4 linked regions of the Oryzias latipes genome follow. The protein of the gene in region 4 purifies or fractionates together with the protein of the main gene of each other region. This does not show direct contact. Links are inferred from orthologs where the notes say so. Each region holds a gene or a part of one and is shown on either strand. Other genes may lie near its edges.

Region 1 (7,992 bases), on a different chromosome or scaffold from region 4:
GGCTGTGAGCGTTTCAATGCAAATCTCTGCTCAGTCCTTAGAAACCGTTAACACGACCACGTCAATTTGTGTTTCCAGTCGTGTCCCGACAAAATAAAGGCTGATATTATTGCCACATATTTACGTGCAGCCAGCCGAGTCACTATGACTCAGAGGTAAATGCACTCCTGAGCATGCGCTGTTCTCTCCGTCACGCAGCTGACCGGCTTTTCCAAACCCGTTGGTGATTTTTTCACGCTGCTTTTAACGATTGCTTTTAACTTGAAAGCTTCATCATATTGTAGCGGCGATCACGTGCACGTTGGGTCTAATGGCACCAAAGGATTCTGGGATGCGGCTGGACATGCGTGTTTCGTTTTGTTGAACCATGACTGAAGTGTCTAAGACCTGAAGTCAAGTCCATGCTGTTTGGCTGCTTAGAGGTGTGTTGAAAAACAAATGACTTGTGTTTGATGTTAGAGAATTCAAACTATTCACTGTGTCCAAAAATACGTACACGGCGGCCGCCAATAAAGTCCAATAATTAGCCGCGTCACTGAATAAGCCGCAGGACTGTAAGCGCAGGAAAAAAGTAGCGGCTTGTAGTCCGGAAATTACGGTAATCAATTTTTCTAACATTTCTATTACCTGTGAGGCAGAATTTCCCACACATATATGTGACATTTAAAAGCACTCTGATATATATGCTAAATATGAAAATAAACATCAATGCTAAATATAAACGCTTATACGTATAAAAAGGAAAAACTGTGTTTGTGTTCCAATGATGTGTGTAATAAGTTATAAATTCTACATCTATAATATTTTCCAAGAGCAGTTAGTAATGATGCCTTTTGGCAACTCCTTGTCAAATAAGTGCACGCTGAAAACAAAAATGCTCCTTTTGGTGACTTTCTAGATTTGTTTTTTACAAGTAGAATCTTCAACTTTGGCCCCTCCCCAGAGTGACATTAACAGAACGGGATATGCGTGCAAATGTATTTAGCTCAGTGGCTGTGACGGGGTTCTTCTCAGCAGCAAAAAAATAAATCACTCTGAAATAAGATGCCCAAGCCAGCAGACTCAAAATTTCAAAAATGGGATTTTATTGACCCCCCCCCCCCCAAAAAAAAAGAAAAAGAAAAGAAAAATCAGACAATAAATTCAGCTGATTTCGGGAGAGCCTGTTGCCACCACTGCAACCAAGACCGCTCTCCCTCAACTGGGAAAAGTAAGTTCACCCCTTATGAAGGCTTAGCCCCTCCCACAGGCATCCCAACACGTCAATGCAAGGGTGGGGTCATAGGATAGAACAAGGGTTAATGGGTTCATGTCTGCCAAACATCCAGAGCACCCCCCATGAAATGTCCCCATAGGAAAAGTTTGAATAAGAGGTTTGGTTTGTAAAGAAATAAAAAAAAAACACCATTAAGACGTATGTTTTAGAGATGGAGATGCTGGGAGTTGAGACAGTCACTTAGCTCTGCAGACAGAGGTTTATGTGCACGTTTTTGTAGCTTTCAGGCCATGAATCTGTTGGGTTTGTTTGTGCTCTTCAGGCCTCCGTCGCTGTGGCTCATGTTGTTCACGGCCTCGTGTTTGTTTGCAGTCACAGACGAGAAAAGGTCGATGACGGACCGGAAAGCGCTCCGGCTGCAGAAGACGGTCCTGACCGCTGATGGAACCCAACATCCTCCTCAAAAAAGTGCATTTATTTTGAAAAACTGTTTGAGTTCAGGTGCTGAGGATCGACTGTCGGCTGTATGTTAAAGACTGAAAAAATATCCAAAGTATTTTGGTCAGAAAAGCCTTCTGTTTGTTCTGGAGTTTCAGCTAAAGTGGACCAGAGGAATGTTGTATAGATTCATGTTGTTCAAAATAGATCCCCACCTCACTTTAGTTGTGTATTATATTTGCTGTTTTAGAATAAATATTTAAATCACTGTAAAGACACTGAAAGTTTGACTTCAAAAAATATCTCAGATGGAGGTGGGGGGGTGGGGTGTAAGGGTGGGGTCATCTGGACCCCATAGGATAGCACAAGGGTTAAAGTTAATCTGAATATCAGAGACGAGAAAAACGTGGATTATATTTTTCAGATTACACCAAACATGACTGTTTGTCATATTGTGAATGTAAATGAAATATAAAAGTGATTTCTTTGTTTTTTTTTAAAAGTTTTTGTCAGATTTTAATTCCATTTTTTTACGTTCCAACCTAACCAATAATTTTGGAATCATGAGAATCATCTTCAGCGTGGGACGCTTTTGTGGTTCTTCACTCTTCTCAGAGAAAAAAACAAACAGTGGAGCTCCTGATGGAAAAGCTTTTATTCAAGAGTTAGAAATGACAACGCAAGGTGAGAAGTTTGCAGCAGAGGCGACGGTAGAAACTGTAGGCGGGTTTTCTTAGCAAAGCATCATGGGACTTTATGTGACCTCCACCACCTGCCTCAGCTCCTCCATCAGAGGAGCCAGCTCCTTCTCCAGAGTCATGATGAGGCCTGAGGACAGAAAAGGAGGGTTTTTACAAAACGCCTCCCACTCGTGTGAAAAACCAGATGGATTCATTTTCACAAAGCTGGATGGCTCCTAACTGGAGTCTGTTGCTATGGAAACAATCTGACCCTACCCTGGTCAGGATCAGGTTTATCTGGAGAATCCCCTGACTGCATATGAGCACTGGACTGAATGTGACATCACACAGAGAAAATGGTTTACCTCCAGCTCCAACCACATGAAGTCAATTCACTCGCCATTTTTTCAGGATATATAAGCAGCGATAAGTCAATCTGAGTCCATGTTTCTATGGCAACCACTCTCACCAATCAGGAGTGAGCTTGTTGGAACTCCACACCCCTACCACCACTTAAAAGACATGAAATCTGTCGAATGGATACTCTTATCTGATTGGTCAGTTTATAACTTGAACCACAGAAAAATATGACGATCATAAAAAAAATGTATCCGAGTAAGAATACTTACTCGGATCAAAAGACTGAGTAACAGCTGTCTATTTCTCTGTAGGATTAGGTACTTCCTGTTTGGAACGCCAGGGGGGGAGGGCTCACTCTAGGTTTTGATTAGGCCCCTCCCACCTGAGTCTGCAGGATGGGTCAGACTCACAGGATTCATCTTTTGTCAGAAGGGGTTTGACAAGAACTTTTTTTCTTCTTTTCACTAAATATAATCCAGAACATTCCTGGAGATTCCCGTCAGACTAAATGATCTGAAATGTCGGGTTTTTTCTCAGATAAACTTCAACTTCTTGGCTCTTGAGCCGTATTTTAAATGCCAGTATTACCACATTGCAACATATTTTGGACGATGATGCTGAGTCACTTTCTCTGCTTTCTTTCATTTGGATGATGAAAAGGCCTCAGGTAAAAGTTTTTGCGTTTCCATGGCGATATTTCTCCTTCCCCACGATGCAGCAATAAGCTACACACGAACAGCGGGGTGCACGGAGATGAAGACTGAGATCATTTTAAGACACGCTCTGTTCAGAGAACATCAAACAGACTGCAGATAACCAGTGGGCGGGGCTCCTCAGACACGCCTCCTCATCTCACCTGTGTTGGCGCTGCTGCTGGCGATGAAGCTGACGACCAGCGGCAGGCGGTTAAACTGCATGATCTGTCGAGCAGAGACAGCAGACGGGTCACAAAGGCAGAACCAGAGCAGAGTCTGGTTACCATGGAGATTGGCCGGGTTAGGCTGGTTCAGAGCAGAAGGAATCCATCAGAGTGATTTGGTTTTTTTTTTTACTTAGCAATAAAAAAAACCCAAATATTTTCACTTCTCTGATTTTTCTTAAAAAAACTCAGGAAAAAGTTCAGCTGGCTTAACAAATCATGAAAAACAAAAGAAGACCAACAGATTCTGAGATTTTCCTCTGCTGGACGTTTTGTCTGCTCCATCAGAGGATAACGTTTGCAGACTTTTCTCCTCTCTGTCCCAGCAGAAGTTCTTCTTTACTCTCAGAACCCTCTGACATTTACAGAACCTGCTCTAGTGCTTCTGTTGTGATCCGACTCCCATGGATCATCTCATTTCAGTCCGTCTCACTCTGCTTTTATGTGAGGCTATTCTCTTAATCCCACCCCCAAAAGTTTACAAACAGGAAGTTTGTTACTATAAGAGACGATGGAGACTAGAGTCTGGTTCTGGATCTGACCCGGACCGGACACAAACTGGCAGGAACCGGATGAAGCGAGCGCGGGTGAAAGGCGCCGGTGTTCCGGCTGCCACGCCCCCACGCGGTGATGCTGGGAGGGGTCACCTGGTAGGTGTTGTAGTAGCAGATGATGCTCTTGTTCTTGGAGAGGCCCAGCTTGCTCCCCTGATCCGTGGCCAGAGCGAACGTGGACAGGAAGCCCGGTCTGAGCGCGTGCACCGGAACGCTGTCGTTGGCAACTGGAGGAAAACAAGCAGGCGTGTTAGGATGAGGACTTCCTGCTGGTGAGCGGTGCGTTCAAAGACCAGGGCCAGAAAAAAAAGTCAGAAAAATCCCCAACAGTTTGACCCCTAAAATGCAGATGAATGAGTCTTTTAGATCCATTTTCTGCTCTACTTTGGTGACTTCTAACCTAAACTCGTACGAGTGGAGCCAGAGCTGAGTCACCCCAAACCATGAAACTACTGCCACAACAAGAAGCTGCTGAGGCTGAGGATAAAGCGTTCCTGTTGAGTAGCAGGTTGGCCCTGAGGCCAAAAGTATTTCTAATAAGTTATTAAAACACAGTTTATTGGAACAGAAAACCCGAAACAGAAGAAGTCTCACCTTTGATTACCGGGACGCCGTCTCGGTCCGTCACCACGATAGCGTGAAGCCCGTCAACACTGAGGACACAGAAAACTACTATTTACATGTGATATAAGATACAAAAACTCTTTTTTGAGAAAAGAGATTTGATTTATAATACAGATTTTTTTTTCTTGTTATATAGTTAAAGTAAATCACTTTGTGCAATAACAATAAGGGACAAAAGCCTCACCTCTGCATCTGTTTGTACAGGAACCTCTTCAGATCCTGCAGACGGGAGCATAAAGAGTTAAGGAGCAACCTCAGAAACAGTCAAGAACGTGGACGTCTGTGAGCTTTAGAGCTTCAAACCGTCAGAGAAGATCCTGGTCTCCCCACCACCATTTTCACCCAGCATTACTGACAATAGTGACCGAGTAACCGCTGTTAATTTCTCCAAAGAAGTCTATGGGATTCTGGCTTCTTGGAGCCAACAGGTACTTCCTGTTTGGACAGCCAGGGGGAGGAGTCACCCAGTCTAGTTCTCATAAACAGTTAATGGAAAAATGTCACGTGACCTCTGTAGAGCGTCTGTTTTTAACACAACATATCCACATGTATAGAACAGAAAGAAATAAAGATGAAAATTAGGACTGTAGTCTAATACAAATGTAATATAAAACTAAGGGTTGTTACACAGCTTATCTGTTTTGCACTTTTGTTTTAATAAACTTTAGTGATTAAAAAAAACATATCTCTCTCTAAAATTTATTAAGTAATGGTTTGATTTTTTTTTAAGAATTTGCTGTTGTGAATGAAACATTAATACAATATTAAATGCCAAATGAAATAATTTATCACCTACAAACCATCCCACATGATACTGTGTGTTTTTGTAATTAGAAGAGAATAGTGAACTTTGAGCATCTTCCCAAAAACTAAAGAGTTTTTAGTGAAGCCTAACAGAACAGGAGGTGCTAAAGGAGGACAGACAGACTCACGTCCGCCATGGCAGCTCCGAGGACCCAAGCCGGTTCCGTCACAGGAAGTCAGGAGAACCGCCGGCTCCGAATCCAAAACACGACGAGCCCGTCCGGAGCGTTTCCACAGTGAGCTCGGTCCTCTGAACGTTTAAACAAACAATCAGCTGATGCTACCACCGTGAATTTCCAAAGAGCTGCAGTCACGTGACGCTTCTTCTTCGCTGTCACGTGACGCTTCTTCTTCGCTGTTTTAAACTGCCGTGTGCTCTCTGCTCCCCCTGCTGGTGGTCAGACGTCATGGTTCATCCATGGTCAAACCAAGTCTAATGTTTTTTGTCTTCTTTTGACTGGGAAAAATGTAGATAGAAAATATATTAGAACCTCCATCATAGTTCTGGACTAAGTGAAGATTCTAACATTACTTACAACTGATCGAAATGTGCTGGCAACATATTTCAATAAAGTTGACTAAAACTTTATTTTCCAATTATTTTGAATTGGAAATTTCTTTTAAACTTATTCTAAACACAGCTAAAATATTTCGCAGCTACTGCCACCTACAAGAAAATATTAGTATTTGGTCTCCAATCAGATACAATATATTGATTTATTTGTCCGGTATTGTAACATCCCTTATTATAGATTATTATACTGTCTTGCTGTCCCTGCTGAAAGCCCGTCGTCAGTCCATCCATCAGTAACATTTGCCCAATAAAAGTCATTAGTTCTTTTTTCAGCAGAGCTGCCTCCTCCAGATCGGTTGTTTCTTTCTGTGTGGATTGCTCAGGTGGGTGTCGTCACCTCCAGGGTCCTTTGTTTCCAGGACATTCCAGGCACTGCAGCTCAGGCAGGAGAAGGTTTCTGATCATGTTCTTCAGAACAGGTGAGACGTGAACTAAATCTTCAAACGTTCATCTTCCAATTGTCAAATGTAGTTTTAGGGGAAAAAAGCCCAGACACAGACATGAAAGAGTTCATGTATGAGAGGTATTTGGAAAAAGGAAGCTGTTCTCCTAGAAAACGGTCTTCGGTGCAAACACAAACATGGAAATGTGGGCGTGGTCTGAAGGAGCTTCAAGGGAATCCATTCAGACCACAGGAACCTGCTGGACCGGTTCAGAGGGGATCTGGGTCTGACATAAGTCCCAGGTTCAAAAAGGTCTCATGCAGCGGCTGAAGAGACGATGGAAGCTGCAGAGGAGCAGAGCGTGGAGACGTGAAGGTCAGAGCAGTCGGACACACAGCAGGACTCATCAGGTCTGAAACATATTCTGCAGCTTCACTGCTGCCCCGCCATCACGCCGTCCCGTCCCACCCGTCCCCCCTCTTCTGGAGGAGCCATGAAGAGCTTCTGCTTCCGTCTCAATGAAACCATCCGTTTTTAAAGGTGAATCTTCAGAAGTTTCTCTGTGTGTTGATTAGTTGACATGAACATTTTGATTATGACAACCAGCCTTTACAAACATATCACACACATGTTTATTATAATGTCATCATTCAGAAAACACACAGTTGGAGAAAAAACATTCAGGGGAAGAAGATGGACGGTGTTCTCACAGATGACTTCATCGAAAAGACTTCTGAGGAGCTTCTCCTCCTCCTCCAGACGTTCCTCCTTAGATCAGAAGAACGTCATCAACCCAGGAATGTGTGATTAAAGCGCTCCTTACTGTCTGTGTGACGCCATCAGGGGGCGGAGCTAAACAGATCTGAAAAGGCTCTCCAGAGCAGACGTGGGAAAGGTGAAGCAGAACTTTAAAAGGACCCTCCTGTGATAAAGTCTAGACAGTCTCTTCTGCCCGCTCTGGCAGGAAGTCCACGTCTGCGTCCATCAGCTCGTGCTTCACTGAAGCACGGGGGCGGCAGTCAGTCATGTGGACCACTCCACGGACCAGAGAGAAACGAAGAGGGAAGGTTCAACGAGTCCCCCAGCAAAGGAGGCCGAAGAAGAAGAGGAGGGCGGCCTCACTGTACCACCTCAAAGTAGTGCAGGATGGCCATGATGTGCTGCGGCATGAAGACGTATCCCGTGTAGACAGCCATGCCCAGCACGGAGATCAGCAGGGAATCTGAGGCAGAGCGTCAAGGAGGAACGCAGGAAAGTGGGGGGGTTCACTAGAGACAGAGGAAGGTTCTGGACATCAGGGTGAAGGGAACCCACACGGGCTTACAGAGGCAGGAACGACAACTCAAACTAATCAAATGTCGCTGATGTTCCTTCAAAGCTGTTCCATTTTTCAGGAAATAACATTTTGAAGGGAAATTAGACATTTCAGGTTAAATCAGC
Region 2 (7,931 bases), on a different chromosome or scaffold from region 4:
CAATCTTAAAGAAATTTCACCCCCACCTTGAAGTTTTGTTGACCTTTGACCCTGGGAAGAGGCTGCCATCTTGAACTTTCTTAATAAAAATCTTCATTAGTACCTTCTATAAACTTAAAATTTGTCCTAGGGATTTTCACCCATCGCCTAACTCCTCGAGAAAAATGTTGGCAATTGTAGATTAGCGAGCTCACAAAAGTGGCATTTTCCTGTTGTTTCACATTTCTTAATGCAATATTGTAAAAATGTAATACACAATACCTTAACTAAAGCTGAACGGAATAATTGAACATTTGTGAACATATTAGGAATGTGGGCGTGGTTAACAAAAAACCTCCTTTGTCAAAGAAATAAAACAACTCTTGCAGATTCTTCTCAGAATTACAAAGATCAGTTTGCCATCACTTGGCAACCCAAATACAAAACCGTTGCTATGGACGTGAAACCAACAGAAAAGTCGTGAATATGTCAAGTGCAGCTCTGACCAGGATGGTAGGGGCAGAAGAGGGGGGTGAGGGGCAGTCGCCCATTCAGTGAGGACAGGACAAAAGGGGGCAGGGAGGGCAGCGCCTGCAGGCCATACAATACCGCTCGCAGCTTTAATTTATTTTATTATTAAAACCCCATTATAGGCTCATCATTGAAACGCATAGTAAACAGCTTCTTAAATGCCAGGTTGTGTTTTTAATAATACACGACTACTTTGTTGAAAATTTTTAATGTACTGATTAAACCCAAAAAAAAAGAAAAAAACTAAAAGTTTTTGGTACTAGCCTAAAATATTACAAACATACAGTTATTCAGGTAGTATTACACATCCGAGTAACAAAAAGAAAAGCCAAGTAACTGAAAAAAAAAGCTGAAATCAGTTGTGTGGTTTAAATAGTCACATCCTCGCTGAACATCCCTTTATCGAGCCCAGAGCAGCTCACCGCACTCTCTGTGGAGCAAACAAGCATTGAAGACCAAAAAATAAATAATCACAAAAAGCTCTGAGATCTCACCATCTCCTGCAGTTCATGGAATTTGAACACACTCGACTACGATGGTTAGTTTCTGATTAATATGGACAACTCTATATGAGGATAACCTGCAGTGAACCTTTTTGTGTAAAACTAACACTTGAGAAGGCTGCATGTCGGTTCAACTCCCCTTTACAAGCAGACAAACTCTGTACAAGCCATCATGTTTTTAGAATCCGTCTGTACAAAAGGATGAATATGCTGTGTCCTCCAACACCCTGCCCCTCCATCACTCTTCTGTTCCCCACTGCATTCAATTATCTAAAATTCTGAGGCAAAAAAAAAAAAAACACACACAAAAAATTAAAAAATGTCAAAACAGAAGCTGACTGATTCGTAGCTGACATGAGTGAATTAAATCCCCACACATCAGACGCATTCATCATTTGGCTAGAACAGGAAAACAAAAAAAATAACCAAATGAAAATTTTCAGTCCCCACCCCTGCTTTTGAAACGCTGTTTCATTTTCCTTCATCGTCACAGAGACTGCTGGGGTTTGCACTCCGTCCATTCAGTTCATGCTTTTGGATTAAAGTAAAGTGAGACTTTCCTGAAGATTCAACCAAACAAGGCGTGAAAAACTTCCAGGTTATAACAAAAGAGAGATGAGGAATGTGACTTTTCCCCTACATCTCCATATGGAGCCTGAAATCCCACATGAACCTCTCTCCCAAGTGCACATTGGACAGAAAACCTACTGTCACAGATCCTCTAAGCACAATAGTGGACAGTTAGACCGGAGCAAAACCTCTGTGGGGTTTTTAACAGTCAGAGGTATGACTGAGAGGTATGACCGAGAAGCACAGGATCAAAGTAGTTTTAAAAAAAAACAGAAAAAGTGGGCTGGAGGAGAACACAGATGAGACGAAGAGCGACTTGGATGGGAGGAACAATATGCAGGTCGGAGTTGCAGAATCAAGGAATGGCAAACTGGACCACCAGTTCCTCTTTAGCATCCACTTTGATTTGAGAGATCGCACTGTAAGCATAAGCAGCTATCTTGGACACCTGCGGAAAAAGGACAACATTGTAGGTTTCATTTATTTGACAGGAACCAATTACAGGAACATTAATAAAAGAAAAGGTGCTTTGTCCCAGACCATAGCTCTCAGAGCTAATGTCCATTTGCAGTCCCAACAAGCAGCAAGTCAAATATTGAAGAATTGAACAAAAATTGTGTATTTGCTCTTTAAAAGATGTCTTACAAACGTTCAGCTTTACAGTTAAAAGAGAAAAAGCAACTCTTCACATGAAGTACTTAGCGGAGACGTCTCCCAACGAGGTTTTTTTTTGCCCCCAATCCGATTCTGAGTCATTTGATTTTGAAAATCTGCATGATCAGAACGCTATTACAGACTTCTAATAGAATATTTTAAAATATAAAGCACTGATCATAATAATGAAAAAAAAAATTAATATTAATACTTCAGCAGAAAGTAACATGCGATTTCAACTGAGAGTCTAGTAATTAATATCACTTGTTTTCTTTTTTTTGTCCATTTGTACATTTTTAAGGGGGAGAATTCTGAATGTTTAGATGAAGAAATGGGTTGATGCAACAATATTTCAAAATACTCTGTTTTTATTTTCAAAACACAACCAAGATAAACCTCAACTTTTTTATAGGGTCTTTGTTTTGTTTTTTAAACAAATCACCTGGTTTTACAGCATAAAACAAGGCAGGACAAACAGGACATGGATTCAAGGACATGGATTAAAGTGCGTGTCAGTGTGGTTACCTGCTGAATATCTGAATATGACACCAGATCACTTGCAAGCACTTGGTGGGGCTGGGTAGTGAGTGAGGGGAGGGCTAGTGCTTTCTTCTGTGGTAGGCTGGTGCTCACTGCAGTCAACTTTGTACTGGAACCATAAAAAAAAACACAAGTTCAGCTTCAAAAAAAATTAACCCAAATGGTCTCGCTTGTGTCCGACCAGACTGCACAGTTTTGCACTATAACCGGCGGTTGCCTTTTACAGCTTGACAGCTGTTTTGTCTAAACAGCTTTTATAGGGAAGCACCAGCACTGCAGCAATTTTGTGGTTAAATTACCTCCTTCACAACTTCCTCAGGATACAAAGACCTCATCATCCTCAATTGCTTTAGATTCCACGAATAAAACTGTTTTTTTTGCTAAATCCGAACCATGTATACAAAATATTGCAGAATAAAAGTTGTTCAACCAATTACAATACAGAGGCTTGCAGTTTACAAATTTAATATAAATTTAAATTATTGGCTTACACATGCCAAAAGTTCAGTTGGTAACGAATAAGTAGTCTTCAAAGACATACCTGTATTGCTTGGCTTTGTCCATGTATTCATGCTGCTCCATAACAACAGAGTCAGCTGCTGAGACATCAATGATGTTCCTCAAACACAACAAAGAGATTTTCATTACTTGCGTTTGAGACTATAGTGTCAAAAGTCCCATTCTGGACCTATCCAAACATAAAAAGTGCCTTACTGTGCTGTCTTGACCAGGATGGATGTGAGAATGGCCTGCTCATCCGTCCGCGCTGATGGGACGCTAGGATTGATCCAGTCTGTCCCATTTGGAGGCTTGCTAATGGGGTTTGGGTGGGGGATAAGGGGCTTAATCTCATCAGGGTCCTTGCAAAAGTAGCAGAGCATCTATTCAGACAATTTATACACACTTCTGAATGAAAATGTCACAAATACTGTCTTAAAACTGTTTTCTGAAGTAGTTGCAACAATGAAAGCATGCCATTTTACCAGGACAAAAGACTGTAGATGACATGTGTGCAGCAAGTTACTCATTTTTACTTTTAATAAGTGAACATATTACAAACTCTTCAACTAAGAGAAATCTCTGCAACCTTTGCTAGTGCTGAACAATAAGTCTGTTATGATATTTATTTTTCATGTGTTAGGTTATCCAGTACCATTTCATTTTAAATATTTTAAGAAACTTTTTCACTTAACCGGAAAACAGTTCATCTCAACTTTTAATTCTTTAAATACGAATACAAAAACCCTTCATCCACTTGTACATGTTATGCTACCAGACCTTACACAAATCAATAAAAATAATGTTAATTAAACCTAATGTGTGTTTTATTATAGAGAAATGTTTAAACTAAATCAATTATACTTTAAATTTCACTATGCTTTTAACAGAACAATTTACGTGTTTGGTTTAATGTGCTTTGCAAAAATAATAAAAATAGAGGGCTAAACAGTTATTTTACTACAACTATGATGGCATATTTACAGTAACAAAGGAACGTCACACTTGTTTCCTTATACTAAAATAGCTTGGAGTCTGCATGATCATGTGACACTGAACTCTTCAAGACACAATACGGAAAAGTCTAGTTATGTATTCTGTACAGCCTACAGCTCACAATTGATTTCTAACCCATGATTAAACAGCACGAACATAATCTACGTAACAAACTGCAGGACGTGAATTTGTTTGATAAGTAAATATTTCGTATATATAAACCACTAAACTTTAACAAGAAATCCAGATGTTTACATTAACAGATATACAACTTGTTTACTTTACTTAAGCTACTAAATCAGCTCCGGGCTAGGCCTGCATTAGAGTTAGCTACATTGCTTTAGATGTTACAGAAATATCTGACACAAAACTAGAAGTTACATGGGCAGGTTTTCCTCTTTATATTTAAATATCAATTTTAAAAAAAAGTAAATACCACGGTAAACAAGGCAGAACCGAGCACCGTACAGTTATCGGGTTGTGGTTAGCTAGCGGCTAACTACCTGACTTGTGTTCTCGTCCTCGTTGCTGTAACAGCAACCCATGGCGGCGGCGTCTGAGGAGCCAAACTAGCAATGCGCGGCTTCCCTGTTCTCCTTCAGATACGAGCCGCGCGCTCCGTCTCCAACAAACATAAAATTCCTCTCCTGTGGACTTTTACTTTAACAACATCAAGAAGCAGGAAGCTACTGCAGCACAGCAGCTTTTCAGACAGGCTATCACATGACAGCAGCTGTGTTGCAACAACAACTCAACTTCTACTTCCGGTTCTCGTGAAGCCGCTGCGGCCTTCGTCACGTGATGCAGGTTGTTTCATGCAGAAGCACAGTGGCGCCCTTCGGCGGGGCCGTGTGCCATTAGAACCCTCACCCCTTGCTTCGTTAACCCTTGTGCTATCCTAGGCATTTTAACATTGGGAGCTGGGTCATCTAGACCGACTAAACAGTGCGCTGAATCTTTTTTCTTCAATGATTTGTGATCTTCACTGGTGTCCATAAATTACATGAAATCTTTCCACCTTTATCCACCTTTGTCATGGTAGGGAGAACACGTCAAAGTAAGGGTGGGGTCATCTAAGATAGCACAAGGGTTAAAACAAATAATATTATTTTTGTTCCAGGCAATTAATGAAATCTGATAAACAATTATGTCATCAATATTTGTAATAAAAAATAGTATAATGTTTTTAAATTATGTATTATAATATACATATAAATCTTGAATCTATCATTTTTACAATATATAAAAATTATTAAATAAATAAAAAATATTAACACCTTCGTTTTCCTCCAAAATTTATTTAAGATAAGAAAAAATAAATATCTGTGGTGAATTCCACCTTCAGGAGCTTTAGCTGAAAATAATCAGTCATCTGTTTAAAAGCCAAAGGAAAAAATTGAGCAGAGCTGAAAAAAAAGACCTTTAAGTGTTAAATAATTTATCAGAACCAACAGCAGGTGAACAGGCCCCGTTTATATCGCTGATAAAGAAAATGGATGGACAGACGGACAGATGGATTATTTATTTTGTTGCTGAAGTGATGAAAAAAGGTATTCTTTTTCTTGTTTCATCTAATAACTGACTTTTGAAATCTGAAGTGTTGGATTTTTGAGTGAACAGTAATGGATAACAAAACTCCGCTTGGGATAATCTGAATCCGAATTGCAACTAAAAAAGACCCACAGTTTGCTCAGAATGTTGGAGTTTTGCTAAGTCCAACTACCTGCCAATCAAAAAAAAAACACACACCTCCACATATTCCACACCTGTGGTGAACAAAAATAAATCAATAGAAATATAAAATTTTGCTTTAAAGTCCGACTTTTAGATGTGAGAGTCAGTGGGAAATTGCCTCATTCTGAAACCAGCCTCTAGTGGTCATTTAGGTGTGTGACAATGAATGGGCGTTAAATTTAAGGTTCTCCATTTCAGATATTCACAGTGAATGTTTGGAAATCCACATTTACTCATAAAAATCCTCACAGAAATTAAAGAAAAGAAAAAATGTACCAGTCATAATTAATGAAGATAGTTAGACAAACAAATAGTTAGCCAAACATAAGTGCGGACAGGAAATATATACAGTAAACACATTTTCAGAAAATTTTTTCAGAAACAAAAAGTTTTTAAAAAAAACTCCATAAGCTGTAAGCATGGTTGTGACAATTTTATGTTTTTGACAAGGAAAATGTAGATTTGTTCATGAAAATGGGTCAATTTAAATATAAATATCTCAATGTTGACTTGTTTTTATCATAGATTTGTCTATGAGCTCTTATTGTTGTTGTTTTTTACAGTGAAGACAAAACTTTTAAGGAATAGCATGATTAAATTCCAGAGTCAAATGGCACTACCGGTAAATAAAATACATTTGATTTAAAACACATGCCTTTCAATGATGGCCTAACAGCGGATGAACAGTTCAACATTATAATGGGGTGGCCATGGTGCAGCAGTAGGGCGGCTGACCTCTAATCGAAATATTGCCTGTTTAATTCCCACCTGCTCCGCTTCATTCTGATGCATCCACCTTTTATATGACTAGATCCAAGTAGATCTTTGTTTTCATCATCAGAGCTGGCATCAGGCATTACGATAACATTGCTCCGGAAATGTTATGGTGAGGGTGTGAGGGGCTGTTAGCTACAGGAAGAGCGAGTAAAATGACATCTTTCAGTAATGGCTGAATTTCTAATAAACGACTGCCACTCCGCAGAAACTGTCCAAGAAAATAGCATAGGTTTGCTGATTTGGGGTAAAATCGGCATAATCATATTTAAAAGACCACTTGGAACATTTTTAGAATAGAGCAAAAGATGATTAGAGTGGGACTTTGAGAAAGTCAAGTTTACTGTACTAGATCAGTGTGTTTTAAACTTTGAGATTTATAAAAAAAAATCAAGAAGTTCTCTTTCTAATACCATTCTTAACAAAAGCAAGATGGTGTGAGAGAGGAGCAGTCTGTGACATGTAAGCACAAGTCTAATCTCTCTGGAGAAGATGAAAGGGTCTCCGACACGCCTCACAGACGGAAAACAGCGGCACTAAAAAGAGGGGTTTCTGTCTCAGCCTGATGATAGAGACAGAAGCTTTTATTATACTCAGCAGTTACGCTGCATCAGAACCATTTCTTACTATATTATGTTGTATAACTCGTCATTAACTTTTTCTATTAATCTGTATAATTGCATTTGCTGAAATGCTTTGAAATCTGCCAGATCTACTGCTTTTTTATTTGTAAATCCAACATTTGAGCCGTGTTGATTTTAGGGATGCTGCAATACTGTTTAAAACCGAACAATGTCACCGCTGGCGTTCCAAACAGGAAGTAGCCGCTTGCTCCCAAAACCAAAATCCCATTGACTTCTATGGAGGAAAAGCTGCCATTACTTAGTCATCCTATTTGTCAGAATAACCATTCCTGCTCTGACACTCTTTTAAAGACCCCTTCCAATAAAAATTGTGTTTTTTTAACATGCTCTTGAAGCATTTTTCTCAAAATTAGTGACTGCTGCTGATTAAAATTGCGTTGCTGAGTATTTCTTTACTGAAAACAGTGAGAATCAGGAGCAGATGGGAAAAAAATGCAGTTTGAAAAACAGAGAGCTCTCAGCAAAAGGGGAGGGGAAGGGGGGAGGGCTTGCTTCCCCAACAGTCCTG
Region 3 (6,926 bases), on a different chromosome or scaffold from region 4:
GAACCCTAGGGGGGGGGGCCTTAAGCACACGTGGGTCAGAACCGCTCCACCCCTTTGGCCCCCTGACTCATGGAGCCAGAACCATGGGGGGGGGCCTTAAGCAAACTTGGGTCAGAACCGCTCCACCCCTTTGGCCCCCTGACTCATGGAGCCAGAACCATGGGGGGGGGCCTTAAGCAGACGTGGGTCAGAACCGCTCCACCCCTTTGGCTCCCTGACTCATGTAGCCAGAACCATGGGGGGGGGCCTTGGGCAGACGTGGGTCAGAACCGCTCCACCCCTTTGGCCCCCTGACTCATGGAGCCAGAACCATGGGGGGGGGGCTTAAGCAGACGTGGGTCAGAACCGCTCCACCCCTTTGGCCCCCTGACTCATGTAGCCAGAACCATGGGGGGGGGCTTTAAGCAAACGTGGGTCAGAACCGCTCCACCCCTTTGGCCCCCTGACTCATGGAGCCAGAACCATGGGGGGGGGGGCCTTAAGCAAACGTGGGTCAGAACCGCTCCACCCCTTTGGCCCCCTGACTCATGGAGCCAGAACCCTATGGGGGGGGGCCTTAAGCAAACGTGGGTCAGAACCGCTCCACCCCTTTGGCCCCCTGACTCATGGAGCCAGAACCCTATGGAGGGGGGCCTTAAGCACACGTGGGTCAGAACCGCTCCACCCCTTTGGCCCCCTGACTCATGGAGCCAGAACCATGGGGGGGGGCCTTAAGCAAACTTGGGTCAGAACCGCTCCACCCCTTTGGCCCCCTGACTCATGGAGCCAGAACCATGGGGGGGGGCCTTAAGCAGACGTGGGTCAGAACCGCTCCACCCCTTTGGCTCCCTGACTCATGTAGCCAGAACCATGGGGGGGGGCCTTGGGCAGACGTGGGTCAGAACCGCTCCACCCCTTTGGCCCCCTGACTCATGGAGCCAGAACCATGGGGGGGGGGCTTAAGCAGACGTGGGTCAGAACCGCTCCACCCCTTTGGCCCCCTGACTCATGTAGCCAGAACCATGGGGGGGGGCCTTGGGCAGACGTGGGTCAGAACCGCTCCACCCCTTTGGCCCCCTGACTCATGTAGCCAGAACCATGGGGGGGGGGCCTTGGGCAGACGTGGGTCAGAACCGCTCCACCCCTTTGGCCCCCTGACTCATGGAGCCAGAACCATTGGGGGGGATCTTAAGCAGACGTGGGTCAGAACCGCTCCACCCCTTTGGCCCCCTGACTCATGGAGCCAGAACCATGGGGGGGGGGGGGGGGCTTAAGCAGACGTGGGTCAGAACAGCTCCACCCCTTTGGCCCCCCTGACTTATGGAGCCAGAACCATGGGGGGGGATCTTAAGCAGACGTGGGTCAGAACCGCTCCTCCTGACATGTGTGTGTTTGTGTGTTGCAGTGGCACGTCCAGGCCACCTGTGCCACTCAGGGGACCGGTCTGTACGAGGGGCTGGACTGGCTGTCCAATGAGTTGTCCAAACGCTAAGCAGCTGACTGATGATGTCACCGTGTACAGAGGAAGAGGAGGAGCCTTCCGCCAGACTGTTCCTGTTTTTTTTTTCTTTTTTTAAATTATAGCTGTAGAAGGAAGTGATGTCACAGACTCTGAGGTTTCCCATCATCCTCTTCTTCTTCTGCCGGTGTTTGTTCTTTTATGCGCATGTTTTAAATCCAGATCATGTGACAGGATGTTTTGGGAGAGGGGTGGGGCTTGGGGCAGGTGAGAGCTACCTGGGCAGGTGACGAGTCATTCCACAGCCGGACCGGCGCCCCCGTCATTCCTGCCTAATGTGAAGAAGAGATGAAGAAGATGACGCAATAAAGCTTTTTCTTGTCACGCTGGTGGGCTTTGTTCTGAACCAGAACCTGCAGACTCTAGACCAGACCGGTCTCAGAACTGAATCTGGTTAAGGATCAGACAAACTTCAGGTTTTCGTATGTTTATTTGAATCAGTTTTCAAAACATTAAAACTTTATTTAAATGACAAGTTCTGACAGAAAATCTGGTTTCTTTGGGAGATGAAGATTTTATTTCAGAATCCAAAACATGCAGCAGAACCTTTGCAGGATCGGTCTTCCGCTCTGCCTTCAGAACCACTGTAGCTGACCTTGTTCTGTAAAGGTCCAGAACCTAAACGTAACTGGGTTCTGTCCAATGATCCAAACAGAACCGAAACTGTTTAGAGAACTTGCTCCAGTTCTGTGCGATTGGTGGGTCACATCAGTTCATTACTGAGCAAGTCGGTTCCGACTCGGTCCAAAGGTGGACTGTCGTCCTCTCCGCCTGGCCCCGCCTTCACGCTGTGACGTGCTCAGGATGCGCGTGCTGACGTTTGACCACAAACACCTTCTGACCGGAAACGGTCACCGCCAAGACGAAGTCCTCCAGAACCACTGCGAACAGAACCGAGTCAGGGCGGGGCATCACCAGCCGAGCTCACCTGTCAGGTGTGACTTACCGGACATGCGCTTAAACGGGACGTCCTCGGATCCGGGTGACCGGAAGTGGTCCGCAGATCCAGATAACCGGAAGCGGTTCGCGGTCCGGACCATCTGCATTATGACGCTCGCCGTGTGCTCGTCGTTCTCCAGCTCACCTGCCGACTGCACAGGTGAGCCTGCTCAGGTTCGGTTCGGTAACAAAGCTGGGCCCGGATACTACTTACCGCCAGAACTCCGTCCTCGCTGATCACCAAGTACCCGAGCTGGTCCGGGATCCGGTCCAGACCCGCCGTCAGCGCCGCCGTGCTCTGCACACAACACACGTGAGGTTCGGTGAGGTTCGGTTCGGAAAAGCGGCACGGAGACAGAGAGCGAACTCACCATTCTTCCGGAAGATGATCCTTCACGTGACTGCTGACGTAGGCTGGTGGGCGGTGCCTTTCAGGCCTTCCAAGCGACTTCCGGTCTGTTTCGCTACACTTCCTGTTTACTTAGTCAATAGTTTTCTTCTATCTGAGCATGTATTGATTATGGGGTAGATTCTATGTAGACGTTTGTAGCAGACGTCTCTCATCTTGTTATTAATTAATCATTTCTGATTCAGGGTCCAAACATTTTTCCAGGACGAGTCAGGAATAAATGTTCTCCAATAGAAAACAGCAGAGGAACAGAAATGACGTTTAGCTGAAACACGGATGATCTTGTTATTCTTTAGTTGAAACAAGATTTTCCAACATTAGTGTCACTTAGAGACATGAAGGGAATATTTGCATCAAGTACAGTATTTTTAAAGAGTTCACAGATTCAGTAGGAACGGCGTCCCCAGTAGGATATTATTGTCAAACCAATGATTGTAAAATAAAGATTTGTTCTTGTAAAGGATATCTCTGTTATTCCAAATAAAAAACTTATGAGGAGAAAAGTTGTGTTTATAGATAAGAAAGAAGAATCTGTGAAAAGCAGAGATTTTCACTGGGATTCTGTCGATATTATAATCACAAAGCAGAAGAAAATGGAGAAAAGCTACTTTAGCAAACATGTGACGAGGGAAAATATTCCAAATGGAGAGTGGATTTTTGAAATATCATCCAGTTTATTTTAAAAGTATTATTTAAAGTAGTAAGATCAAGAAAATTTAGGCCTCCTTTTTCATAGGAGTTCATTAATACAGATTTTTTAAATAATGAATCCGGTTTTTCCAGATGAAGTTTAGCAGCATTTGATCAATAGATTTCAGAGTCTGATTGTCCAGAATTAGTCAGTCTAGAAATCCCCTCTGCTGTGGAGAGTGAATCCTTCCTCAGACTCTGGTCTCTCTGAAGCCTTTGGTTCAAACGTTTTTTGGCTTCATCAATGAGGGGGAGGGAAATTTAATGAGCATCTTTCTAAACTACTTTTGGAAATATTAACGCCTAAATATGTTACAGTTTCTATTACAGGACTGTTGCAGATTCTAAAGCACAATCTTCAACAGAAAGAAGTTCTTATTTGTTCAGACTGAGACGTAGACCTGAGACATCAGAGACAGACTGGATACGGTTCAGAGATCAGGAAACCTGACTGCTGTCTCTGAAGAAGAGAGTCGTGTCATCAGCAAACTGACTCATTAACATTTCTTTATTAAGAACTGAGACGCCTTTTAATTTATGAATATTGATACAATCAGCAAGAGTTTGGGTAACTAGAAGAAAAAGATACGGTGAAATAGGACCCCCCCCCCCATCTGATTCCTCTATTGGGATTGAATCTGGGGGGGGGCATTTTTTAGTTTGACAGAACAGTTAGCATTAGCATACAGAGTTTTAACTGTATTACAGAAGAAATGTATGAAGACAGCTGAAGATAAAATGATGATTAACAGAGTCAAACGCTTTATAAAAGTCTAAAAAGAGAATCAACTGTCATCAGAGATCAGGTGTGAGGAATCTAGAATATCAAGAACTAGACCAATGTTATTGGAGATGTGTCTGAATCCTGATTGTGTCTCTGCAATAACTGAGTTTAGAACAGATTTAAGTCTCTTTGCAAAGACAGATGCAAGAATCTTGTAGTCATTATTTAATAGATATACGGGACGCCAGTTGTCAATGAGAAGTCCATCTTTTTTGGGTTTGGGTATCAGAGTAAGAACGCCTTGATTTAATGTTGGAGGAAGGAAGCCTTTTTCTATGCTCTCTACAAATACCTGTGTCAGAAAGGGGCTCATTTTATCACTAAATTGTTTATAAAATTCTCCCGTTAAGCCATCTGGTCCAGGAGATTTGTTATTCTTAAGATGGTTAATAGAGAAAAGTATTTCATTTTCTGAAAGAGGAGAATCACAGAGATCCCGTTCAGAAGCCTGTATTGTTGTAGATTCTAGTTTAGGAAGTGATCAGGATCTACGCTGGGTTCAAAGGCAGACAGTTTACTGTAGAACAGGCTAACATCATCTGCAATAACTTTGGGATCAGAGGTCATCTGGCCTTCAATGTTTAACTGCTGTAGTGTATTTGTCTTGGAACGACGTTTCTCCAGTTGAAAAAAGTAAGAGGAATTCTTCTCCCCCTCTTTTAACCATTTCAGCCTTGATCTTCCAAAGGCTCCTTCAGCTCTGTTCTTATAAATACTGTCTAATTCTTTTTGTAATAATGCCAAATTTATTTTATCATCATCTGATAACTCTGCAGGATTTCTTTTTGAAATTGTCATAATGTCATTGATAATTTGGCTTTCTTTAGCCTTTTTAGTTTTATTTAGTTCTGAACTAAACTTTCTAACAAAAATTAGTGATTTCAAATTTAAAAAGTTCCCAGTTTTTACCGTAACAGTTTTCTTCTTTTGCTAGATTATAAAAGTAAGAGATGAATTCAGAAACCTTTTGTTGTACTGTGTCTAGCTTAAGCAGTGAGTTATTTAACATCCAGTATGCTCTCTTATTTTGGGATCTAGTTTCGGATAATTTAATAGAAATGTAAATTGCTTTATGATCTGTTAGTGGAGAAGGAAGAATGTTGACTTCAATATCATCTGCATTTAGACAATCAGACACCAGCCAGTAATCTATGCCAGATTGTTTGGATCCATAATTATTACTGCAGGTAAGAACAGAGTCTGATGGGAATCTTTCTCTGCAGACATCTTTCAGGTTCTGTCTCTGCATGAATGAATGTAACTATCAGGTGATAGAACACGTGGGGGCCATTTGTCCAGCTGATTATTTTCAAGCTGTATTAATCGGGAAAGTTGTTTAGACCAGAAATTATATCATTTTCATTCAAAGAAATGAGCTCAACGTTTTCAAGTTTGGAGTTGTAACCGTATCTGTTAATAGTAATAAAGATGTTACTTTGAGTGGACATTATCAGAAACACAGAATGACCCTGAATGTCACATTTGCTCAGAAGAATGTGTTTTGAACTGAGAGTTCCAGCTGACCACCATAAACATCTTCACCCCACTGAGATTTCCAGAAGTTTCTATCATTACTGCTAGAATGTGACTCTTGAAAGACTAAAAGTCTGTTTTCAATTGTTTACTTAGTGAAAACGTGTTTGTCGCTTCGAGGCTGTTTAAGTTACTGTTACTGCGTTACTGTTCAACACTGCTGTGAAAACACAAACTAGAGTCAGATCAGAACAATTGACGACAATAAAACAAGAATTCTAACATTTGAATGTTTGATAGAATGCTTTGAACATGAACGGAGAGCATCCATTATGCCGTAGCTACTTCCAACACAAACATTCAAAAGATCCATCAACTACAGAATGATTTTATCAGAAACAACAAACCTTCACCTGGAAAACCTACAGAGGATGAAGGTCATCCAGGTCATGAAATAACAGCAGACAGAAAAACAAACATTACCATTCCCTCACGTCTATTTCAGAAGGTTGGTATTGAATTTCTTTTTAAATGGGATTTTGATCCACTTTAATTACCCATCAAACTGAAAATCCCAAACAGCTTTGACATCAGGTTTTACAGAAGTTGGGCTGTCGTCCTCCTGATGGACAGTGAGGAACTTTCCTTAGATAAAACATTTTGGATTTCACATTCACAGAATGTTCAATTTCTACAGATTTAACCCATTTAATCAGAGCAAGTGTACAAAATTCATCGATTTTACCTCAACTTCCAAAACTGGTAATTCAGGTTTGTTTTACAGATTAAAAGTGTTTTAAGAGCCTAAATTATATTCCCTTCCTGTCAGGACAATTCAGTCACATTAAAAAAAACAGACAATTCTCACATCAGATCCTGTTTTCTTACGTTTCCCTCCAAAAATGACAGAGGTCCACTTTATAACAATTAACGACATCTATCCATGTGTGGAATTTTTAGTTTAATATACAAGATAAATTATGCCCCAAACGCTACCTAGAAATGCTGACTGGAAATAAATGTATGCGCCACTTTTTGAATGATGTGAAGACAAAAATGCAATCCAATCTTTGCATTTTGGCTGTAATTATGTCACAGAACGAGTGTTGTTGAAGAAGAAAAGGAAAAAACTT
Region 4 (8,042 bases):
GTTCACCGCTCGGTGTTTGCTTTTCTACTTCACTCACTTTGGAAAAGAGTCTAAGTGGACGTTTGAAGCTCCGCTTCCCGTCTGTCCGCGGCAGAGGTCGTCTCCACAGTGAACGCCGTCGCCGCCGCCGTCGCCCGGGACTCGGAGGCGGGTCTTAGGCGGGTCAGTGGGTTCTGCTCTGATGGCAGAAGAGTGAATGGAGAGGATGAATGCTGCTTCTGGGATGGACTCAACTGAGAGGGAAGATCATTTGACAGAACTGCTTTGACTGCCGTCATGTCAAGAACCTTCTGATCCAGGAGTTCACCTTCACGCTTTAACCACTTCTCCTGAATGATATCAGACACATTTTTAGTTGTTCTTTTGCAGATTTGACTATATATGGGACTTTTCGCGCACCGATAACCAAACATTTTTGAGCAGCAGATTTGGTCACTTTCCCAGATAATATCATTACTTATTTGCAATCTTTTTTTTTTATTCGTGTTCAGTTTCTTTAGACAATTAAATACCCATTGAGGGATTAGAAAATGTTGACACATTTTTCTGCTTTAGCAATACATTTTCCATGTTATTCTTAACTTCCGCATCTTCAGATCCAGCTGAAGCAATCGCACATTTCTGCAGAAAATTCTATTTTTATGTCCAATTTCAAATAACTGCATCAAAAGGTAACCTCTTTTCATTCTAAATAGCCCGAAAAGGACTAAACGACAACTAAAATTAGTCATTTGTTCTCATCTAATGTCTGCTAGAGCAGTGTTTTTCAACCGGGTTGCGGAAATCCGGAAAGTGCCCTCAATAACTGATCTAAAAACATTTTCCATCTCCAGGATTTCAGCTCTGTGTTCATCCAAACAGGCCCTGATAAAACACAGAGTAGTTAGGAATATGAAACATAATAAAAAACTTTTTTCTTTCTGTTTATTTGATTCTATTAAAGACATTTTGATAAGAATGACGGTACCGTGATTTAGCCGTAGCTTCAGCTGTTTTTGGAAAAGTCCCGCCCCTTTAACTGTCTCCACCAATCATTCTTGGAGGCTTAATCACATGTCATCAGTCCGACCAATCAGAAGTGGTTAAAGTCTTCACTTCCTTGTTCTGATTCTGCTCATAAAGTCGCTCAGTTCCAACAAAAATACCAGCTAAAGCTCGTCTTTATCGGTGTAGCTTTCCACAGAATCCGGTGTCAGACCGTGGAACAAGTGAACAAAACAATGAAGCTCAGAGAAGAGTGTCTGCCCTTTTGCGGCAGTTAACACACTACATCTCCCATAATGCATTGGGTTAAAGTGACAGCGTCTCAGCGCACAATGAGTCGTACTTGTTAAACGTCTTGAAACCACATCAGTTTTTAAATCTTTTAACTTAACTTTTATTACATTTTTTTAGAAAAAACAGCAGCAACTTCCAGCTTTTTCTGCCACAATTATCATAAAAATGTATGTGAGATTGTGGAGGGGCTGTAGATCAATACAGACCGAGTTTCTCCTTCTTCTTTTTTTCATTTTTGGATGCTGGTGTGCCGCAGGATTCCTGTCGAGGTTAAAGTGTGCCGTGGCTCAAATAAGTTGAAAAACACTTTACTAGAGAACCAACAAGAACAATGTTCATGGAAATTATAAGAAAAAGAAATGTCTGAGTTTGGAATTTTAATCCTAGAGATTTCCCAGAAGGATTATTAATACAGAATGTATTGTGTTAAATCTGAATACTTGAAGTTAATGTGGATACGGAGACTTGGAATTCCACTTCATCATTTGCAGAACCTTCCAAAATAAAAAATAGATAAAAATCACTCATGGTCAATAAAGTTAGTCTTTCCTCACACAAAAATGTACTACAGAAAAAACCTTAATGTCAACGTGACAACAGATTTCTACAAAGTAATGTCAATGAAACAATAACATGAAATGATTGTTTGCATAATTATTCAAGCCCTTTTAAATTCAATAGAAGTCCATCCAATTAGTGCCAATAGTCTATCAATTAACGGAATGAAGATCACCTGAGTGGAGTGGGTGTGTCCCAAGGGGGTTATAAAACACCTGTCTATGAAGGCTCCAGATACTGGTGGTGCGGTTTTTCCGGCTACCATTTCACCATGAAGACAGAGGAGCCCTACAAACAGCTCAGAGACAGGGTTGTTGAGAGGTACAAGTCAGGGGGTGGATACAAAAACATTTCCAAGGCATTGAACATCCCCCGGAGTTCAGTGAACTCCATCATCAAGGAATGGAAGGACTATGGCACACGTGTGAATCTGCCTAGATCAGGCCGCCCTCATTAACGGAATGACCGTTCAAGTAGGAGACTTTAGAGACGCCACCAAGACCCTACGGCTACTTTGAAGGAGATAAAAGCTTCAGCTGCTGAGACTGGAGAGACGCTGCACGTAGCAACTGCTGCCCGGGTTCTTCACCGGTCAAAGCTTTACGGTAGAGAGGCAACGAGAAATCCACTGTTAAAGAAAATACAGACTAGAGCTCGACTAGAGTTCACCAAAAGGCAAATGGAAGACTCCATGATCAAGTGGTAGAAGATTCTTTGATCTCATGAGACCAAAATTGAGCTTCTTGGCCATCAAACAAGATAGAAACCAAAGACTGCATATCATCAAAAATACACCATCCCCCCACCGTGAAGCATGGTGGTGGTAGCATCATGCTGTGGGGATGTTTCGCAGCAGCAGGCACTGGAAGGCTTGTAAAGATAGAGGGCAGAATGAATGCTGCAAAATACACTGAAAATTTGGAGGACAATCTTTTTCAGACTGCAGGAGAACTACGGCGTGAGAGGAGGTTCATTTTCCAGCAAGACAATGATCCAAAGCAAACGGCAAAAGCTACACAGGAATGGCTTTAAAAGAACCAGGTTAATGTTCTGGAGGGGCCGAGTCAAAGCCAACACCTGAATGTGTGGCTGGACTTTAAGGAGCTGTTCCTGCCCGGTCTCCACCCAACCTGACAGAACTGGAGCAGTTTTGCAAAGATGAATGGAGCAACATTCCAGTGTGCAGGTGCACAACTCTGATAAAGACTTATCCACAGATTCAGTGCTGCGATGGCAGCCAAAGATGAACAAGTACGCAAACCAACAAACTTTATTGACCATGAGTGATTTACGAAAGCAAGCCACTGTATGTGGGAATAAAACTTTGTTGTTTTGGACAAAAGAGGGCTGAGTTACAAGAGTCAGTTATTGACTTTTATTACTTTAAGGTTGTATAGAGCTTCTGACGAGGAGTCATAAAGGTTTCTAGAAAATGACCATACATCCAAAAAGAAACTGTATGGTTATTTTTTAAAAGGTTCAATAGATCCTTAAAAAAAAAATCAAAATGTTTGGTCCAAGGATCAAGTCACGGCTCAGAATATCTATATTTTCACTAAACAAACAAGTTCAGGAAGACAGAAACCTGATGAATGTGATGGTGATGTCGGTGAAAACACTTCTGAGGTTCTCCGATCCAAAACCCCACGGAGAACTGCTGTCTGGTTAGAACCATCTACGGTAGAACTTTTCCGTCTAAAGTCACAATGTCACCATGAACTGCAGATCACATCATGAGAGCCACAAAGCTCTGATTTCAGGGAAGTCTATTGGAATAAGCATTTAAAGTTGAATTCAACCTGGAATAACACACAGTTCCTTTAATGAGTGGTCCCCAAACCCCGGGCCATGGACCGGTACTGGTCTCTGGGACAGTTACCGGGCCGGAGAGAGAGAGAAAACTACACATACATAAAATTACACAGAGAAACTACAGGAATCGATTCACAAACTAAAAACATGTATCCCTAAATCTATGGAGATTTCTCAGAAAGCTGTGATTTCTCCTCAGGATTCAGATCCATGTGAAACTTTCCATGCGGACAGTTTAATGAACCCGGATTCAGATGTGTGATGGTTATCTGCGCCCTTACATGTTTAATCGATCATCGTTGTTATTATTATTTTTCATTGAAAATGTGTAAAATAAAACTGGAAGGAAACAATAAAATTAACAGAAAATGCCAGTGAAGTGACGCACAGATGGATAAATGCCAAATGAACCCTTCAAATAAGCCCATCGGAACCGGTTCTGCTCTGTTGCTGACCTGTAAGTTATGAAGGACCACTAGAGACCAAGAAGACAAACTAGAGGTTTCACGGTTATTTTATTTTTGTTTTTATTTTTTTATTTTTTGGCGATTAGTTTCCTAAGATCTGAATATAGCAGTAATTTAATTACTCCAATGTATCGGTTTTATGTGGCAGAAAGAGTAATCCAACTGTATATTTTATTGCAATAGCATCGCTAACTGCGCGCGCATTCACTTCTATTAGCAAACGGAACAGTCTACCTGTGGACAGGTGATCGCCTCAAACGTACCTGAGAACATATTACATCTACATTTCTGAAAAATAACTTTTTTCGGGAGAAAAGCACCAACAGACGAGCCCCGTGTTGTGGTCACGCGCTCAGGTAAAAAGGTTAGCTGGAACGAAGCTGAAGTCCGCCCGCCGAACAACAACAGCCGGTCCTGACGGCACCGCAGATTCCCGCGTCCCACAGACTTGACTGACGGACAATGCGGCGTCTTACCGTCCTGCGTTCGAGTCGCCGGTTCAAATCCAGAGGAGGCGACGCCGGTTTCCGTGGGTGCGTCTCGCAGCCGCGAGCCCGTCTCTTAGCCGGTCTGGTCTGTGCAGCAAACACGGCTAGACACGCCTCCACGGGGAGACACGCCTCCAGGGACAGCACAAAGCACGCCGATTGGCTGCTACAAAAACTTTGCACTGACGGTGGCCGAGAAGGTCCAAACTCCTGTCAAAGACACGAAATTCACTTTCCAATTGTTTCCCTTCTGGAAAGAAACTTCAAGCATTAAACACCTGATATTTACTCTAAATGTTCTGCTTTTACCTTAAATTCTGATTCACGTTTCTTGGAATTTTTCTAAAATGGTTTTATTAATTTAAAACAGAACTTTAGCTTTAAATTTTGTGATGAATCACCCACAAGAAATGTAATCATTTTAATCTTTCTCATTAGATGAGGTTTCCTTGTTCCATGTAACTTCACTGACTTCTACTGTTTCTGTAAATTCATTATACGTTAATAAATATTTTTACTTCGCTGTATACAGTGACACACCTGACATTTATTGTACTATCTATACTTTAGGATAAATATTATTGCAAATGTAGCAAGTCTGCTATAAACCATGTACATGACATGTGGGAAGTATAACTGAATACTTCAGACTAAATTGAAAATCTATGTATATATATTACTATATAATATATCACAATGTGTGGGAAAAAGTACACTTCAAGTGTCCCACTTCATTTTTAGTATAGACTTGGTTTGCTTGTAGTATACTTAAATAGACATTTTTTGGTAAGGGTAGGTATAACTCTTCTGAAAGCAGATGTAACTATCTACCATTCTCCCATGAACACTTGGCAATAAATAAACCAAATGTACTTTTTTGAACAAACCTTCACAAAGCCGTGAAAATCCTTTAAATTACTCTAAAGAGCGTGATGGTGAGCCACAGTCGGGTTCTTTTCTTGTTACTGGGAATAAGACGACAGAAGCAGTAAAAACTCAGAGACAAATCAAGTGTCAGTTTAGCAAAGCAGCTCGTCAATCAAAGAGAGTGTAGGTTGTTGTTGCTACAGGCAAAACATTTCCATTTAAAAAATAATGGATTGGATTTTTCTGCGCTTTTCCAGACGCTCAAAGCGCTCACAGTGTGTTTCCATTATTCATTCAATCCTCATTCAAACTTGACTGACAGAGGCCCCTCTGACCATCACCGATGGTCCACACACCAGTGGAGCCACACTGGAGGCAGGGAAGGTGATGGGAATTCCCAAGGACACAACAGCAGCAGACTGCTGGCATTGAACCAAACATTTTAATTGGCTTTCATTAAAACAAGCGAGAGGACAAGAGAGCTGACAAAATTTTTGACCATTTATCACTTAACAGTGAAATTCAAACTGAGGTACATACTGCCACCTACTGTGTGGGGGGTTAAATACTGACCTACATGTCACAACAGTATTAAGGATGCTTGCTCATTAGGATTTCAGTGAAGTCAAACTTGCAATGTTTTCACATTTCCTGATCTAACATGGCTATAAAACCAGAGGATGGCAGTGAAATTCCTTAGCTAAATGAGTTAGGGTGTAGAGTGTTCCATTGTTTTTCCAAAGTGAGACAGCAGTACAATGTCCACAGAATATAAAGAAATCTGTTATGATGTCGTAGTTTGCATCTTAGCTTTTTGGGTTCTTTATTCTGATTCCTGGTTCTGTTTTCCTGCAGGTGGCCTCTCCCCACCATCTTCTGGTTCTGGTACCTTGGATCTGTCAGAGCTGCCTGCACTGTTACTGTCTGGTTTTCAGGGTTTTGGTCTTCAGTGTTGGTGGGCTTTTGGCAACGTTTTTCTGGCTGAGGACTGTCGGGTTGATATTTGGTGCTTTGGTGGTTTTTCCGACACTTTGGCCACTGTCTGTCATTTAGTTATTTGGACCTATTTTCTTGCCCTCCCAGCCGTGACCCTTGCCGCATGTCACGAACCGCACACAGGCTGGAACCTCTCTTTGGTGATAGAACACATGGGGGTGTAGTGATTCCTAAGAAAATTCAGTTCTTGTCGTCACAAGAAACAGATGGAAGATCAAAAAATTGGAAAAGAAGAATCATCTAAAAATTCACACAGAGAATAAATATGAGACTGGAGAAAAAAAGATGAGCCAAAAGACCTTTTGGAGGTAATATCTGAGTCAGAAAAAAAGAAAAATTCTTGCACTGAAAAAAAAAAATTACAAATAAACAAATTGAACATCGGTTTCATGTCTTTCTGGTAACAATACTGCTTTGAATAACACAATATGAATCCAGTTCAGTCTAAATTATATGGTACACTTTACAAGCAAATTGTAATTAAAGTGCTTCACACATTTAGAAAAAAAACAATACTAAATATACACATAAATGAAAAAAAAACTTGAAATCTCCAACTGGAAAGGGGGAAAGTGTCCATATTTTATGAAGTAGGAACTTTTTATTATTTCCCTTTTTATAGCGAGATGTCATCGGGGCATTTCCCCCATTAGAGACACCATTTAACCCTTTGAAAGAGTTTTAATCTGTCAATAGTTTGTCTTCAACATTATAAGGACCAAACCATTGGTGTCACACAATAGAGGAAAATGAATTGGACCCATTTCCCACTGCTAGAACACAGTAATGAGAGAAAATGACAGGAAAAACTGGACTGGTAGCAGGATTGATGTAGATCTAGATATCGCCCTTACCTGAAAATCCTGAATTTCACAACCTTGTTTCGTTCCTGCGTGTGACTGTACGTGATAAGAGCGTGATATGATGGTGCTACCCGATCTGTGACGGGTACCCGCATACAGCCATGTCACAACGGATGAGTGTACAGGTGAAGGCGTATCTAGAGAACCGAAAATTAGACAGGCAGTGATGTAAAACTTTCATCAAAAATATAGTAAAAGTATTTTATTATATTGTTTTTTACTACAAACAAGTCTTAGCAGTCGATCTCAATGTGCCAGTTTTTCAACATTTACAGGGCGTTGCATTCTGGGAATTTCATCTTTGAGCGGACGACATTAATGGTGGACGTAAATTTTTTGTTTTTACATAAGTTAGTTTTTATTCCATCAAAATGTGGTTTTAAGTGTGTGTGTTTTTTTTTTAATAATTAGGGTCATTTCTGTCTTTATAAAGTTTTTAAGCGGCAGGTTTTACCCCGATTGTAAAAAAACTGTGAGGAAAGGTGAACATCTGTGGATTCTGGGGTTAATAAAAAAAATGCACATAAGTCAAAAGCTTAAAAGGGGCCTAAGTTCTTTATGTGTTCTTGTAACCGTGTTAGATCTTCCTGCTTTTTTTTGGCCCTAATTAAAGGACTGACGTTCAGTGTTGGTCTTTAAATCCTTTTCACCCTGAAGCTTTTCACTCAGGTTCCAGTCAGAAAAGACCCTCTCCAATGAAAATCCTGTTCTTG

Evidence for each region.
Region 1: the proteins of slc38a9 (region 4) and lamtor3 purify together in Homo sapiens (affinity purification with mass spectrometry; 3 studies listed by BioGRID and IntAct, with this or other methods). This does not show direct contact. The link is inferred for Oryzias latipes from reciprocal best matches to the Homo sapiens genes SLC38A9 and LAMTOR3.
Region 2: the proteins of slc38a9 (region 4) and lamtor1 purify together in Homo sapiens (co-immunoprecipitation; 5 studies listed by BioGRID and IntAct, with this or other methods). This does not show direct contact. The link is inferred for Oryzias latipes from reciprocal best matches to the Homo sapiens genes SLC38A9 and LAMTOR1.
Region 3: the proteins of slc38a9 (region 4) and lamtor4 purify together in Homo sapiens (affinity purification with mass spectrometry; 4 studies listed by BioGRID and IntAct, with this or other methods). This does not show direct contact. The link is inferred for Oryzias latipes from reciprocal best matches to the Homo sapiens genes SLC38A9 and LAMTOR4.

What each region holds. Positions count from the first base shown.
Region 1 is NC_019880.2:24,347,935-24,355,926, reverse strand, and holds lamtor3 (ragulator complex protein LAMTOR3), read right to left. Parts: upstream 5,194-7,992; 5' UTR 5,128-5,193; coding exon 5,095-5,127; intron 5,011-5,094; coding exon 4,976-5,010; intron 4,821-4,975; coding exon 4,762-4,820; intron 4,395-4,761; coding exon 4,261-4,394; intron 3,615-4,260; coding exon 3,551-3,614; intron 2,483-3,550; coding exon 2,409-2,482; 3' UTR 2,292-2,408; downstream 1-2,291. Other genes in the region: dapp1 (dual adapter for phosphotyrosine and 3-phosphotyrosine and 3-phosphoinositide), read left to right, coding at 1,539-1,658. UniProt on the Homo sapiens protein: As part of the Ragulator complex it is involved in amino acid sensing and activation of mTORC1, a signaling complex promoting cell growth in response to growth factors, energy levels, and amino acids.
Region 2 is NC_019871.2:21,796,135-21,804,065, forward strand, and holds lamtor1 (ragulator complex protein LAMTOR1), read right to left. Parts: upstream 5,103-7,931; 5' UTR 4,817-5,102; coding exon 4,775-4,816; intron 3,638-4,774; coding exon 3,492-3,637; intron 3,397-3,491; coding exon 3,319-3,396; intron 2,887-3,318; coding exon 2,763-2,886; intron 2,032-2,762; coding exon 1,939-2,031; 3' UTR 702-1,938; downstream 1-701. UniProt on the Homo sapiens protein: Key component of the Ragulator complex, a multiprotein complex involved in amino acid sensing and activation of mTORC1, a signaling complex promoting cell growth in response to growth factors, energy levels, and amino acids.
Region 3 is NC_019881.2:23,885,276-23,892,201, reverse strand, and holds lamtor4 (ragulator complex protein LAMTOR4), read right to left. Parts: upstream 2,918-6,926; 5' UTR 2,812-2,917; coding exon 2,809-2,811; intron 2,736-2,808; coding exon 2,652-2,735; intron 2,590-2,651; coding exon 2,445-2,589; intron 2,380-2,444; coding exon 2,282-2,379; 3' UTR 1,921-2,281; downstream 1-1,920. Other genes in the region: ADP-ribosylation factor 4, read left to right, coding at 1,385-1,471. UniProt on the Homo sapiens protein: As part of the Ragulator complex it is involved in amino acid sensing and activation of mTORC1, a signaling complex promoting cell growth in response to growth factors, energy levels, and amino acids.
Region 4 is NC_019870.2:27,085,692-27,093,733, reverse strand, and holds the start of slc38a9 (sodium-coupled neutral amino acid transporter 9), read right to left. Parts: upstream 4,720-8,042; 5' UTR 4,592-4,719; intron 179-4,591; 5' UTR 38-178; intron 1-37.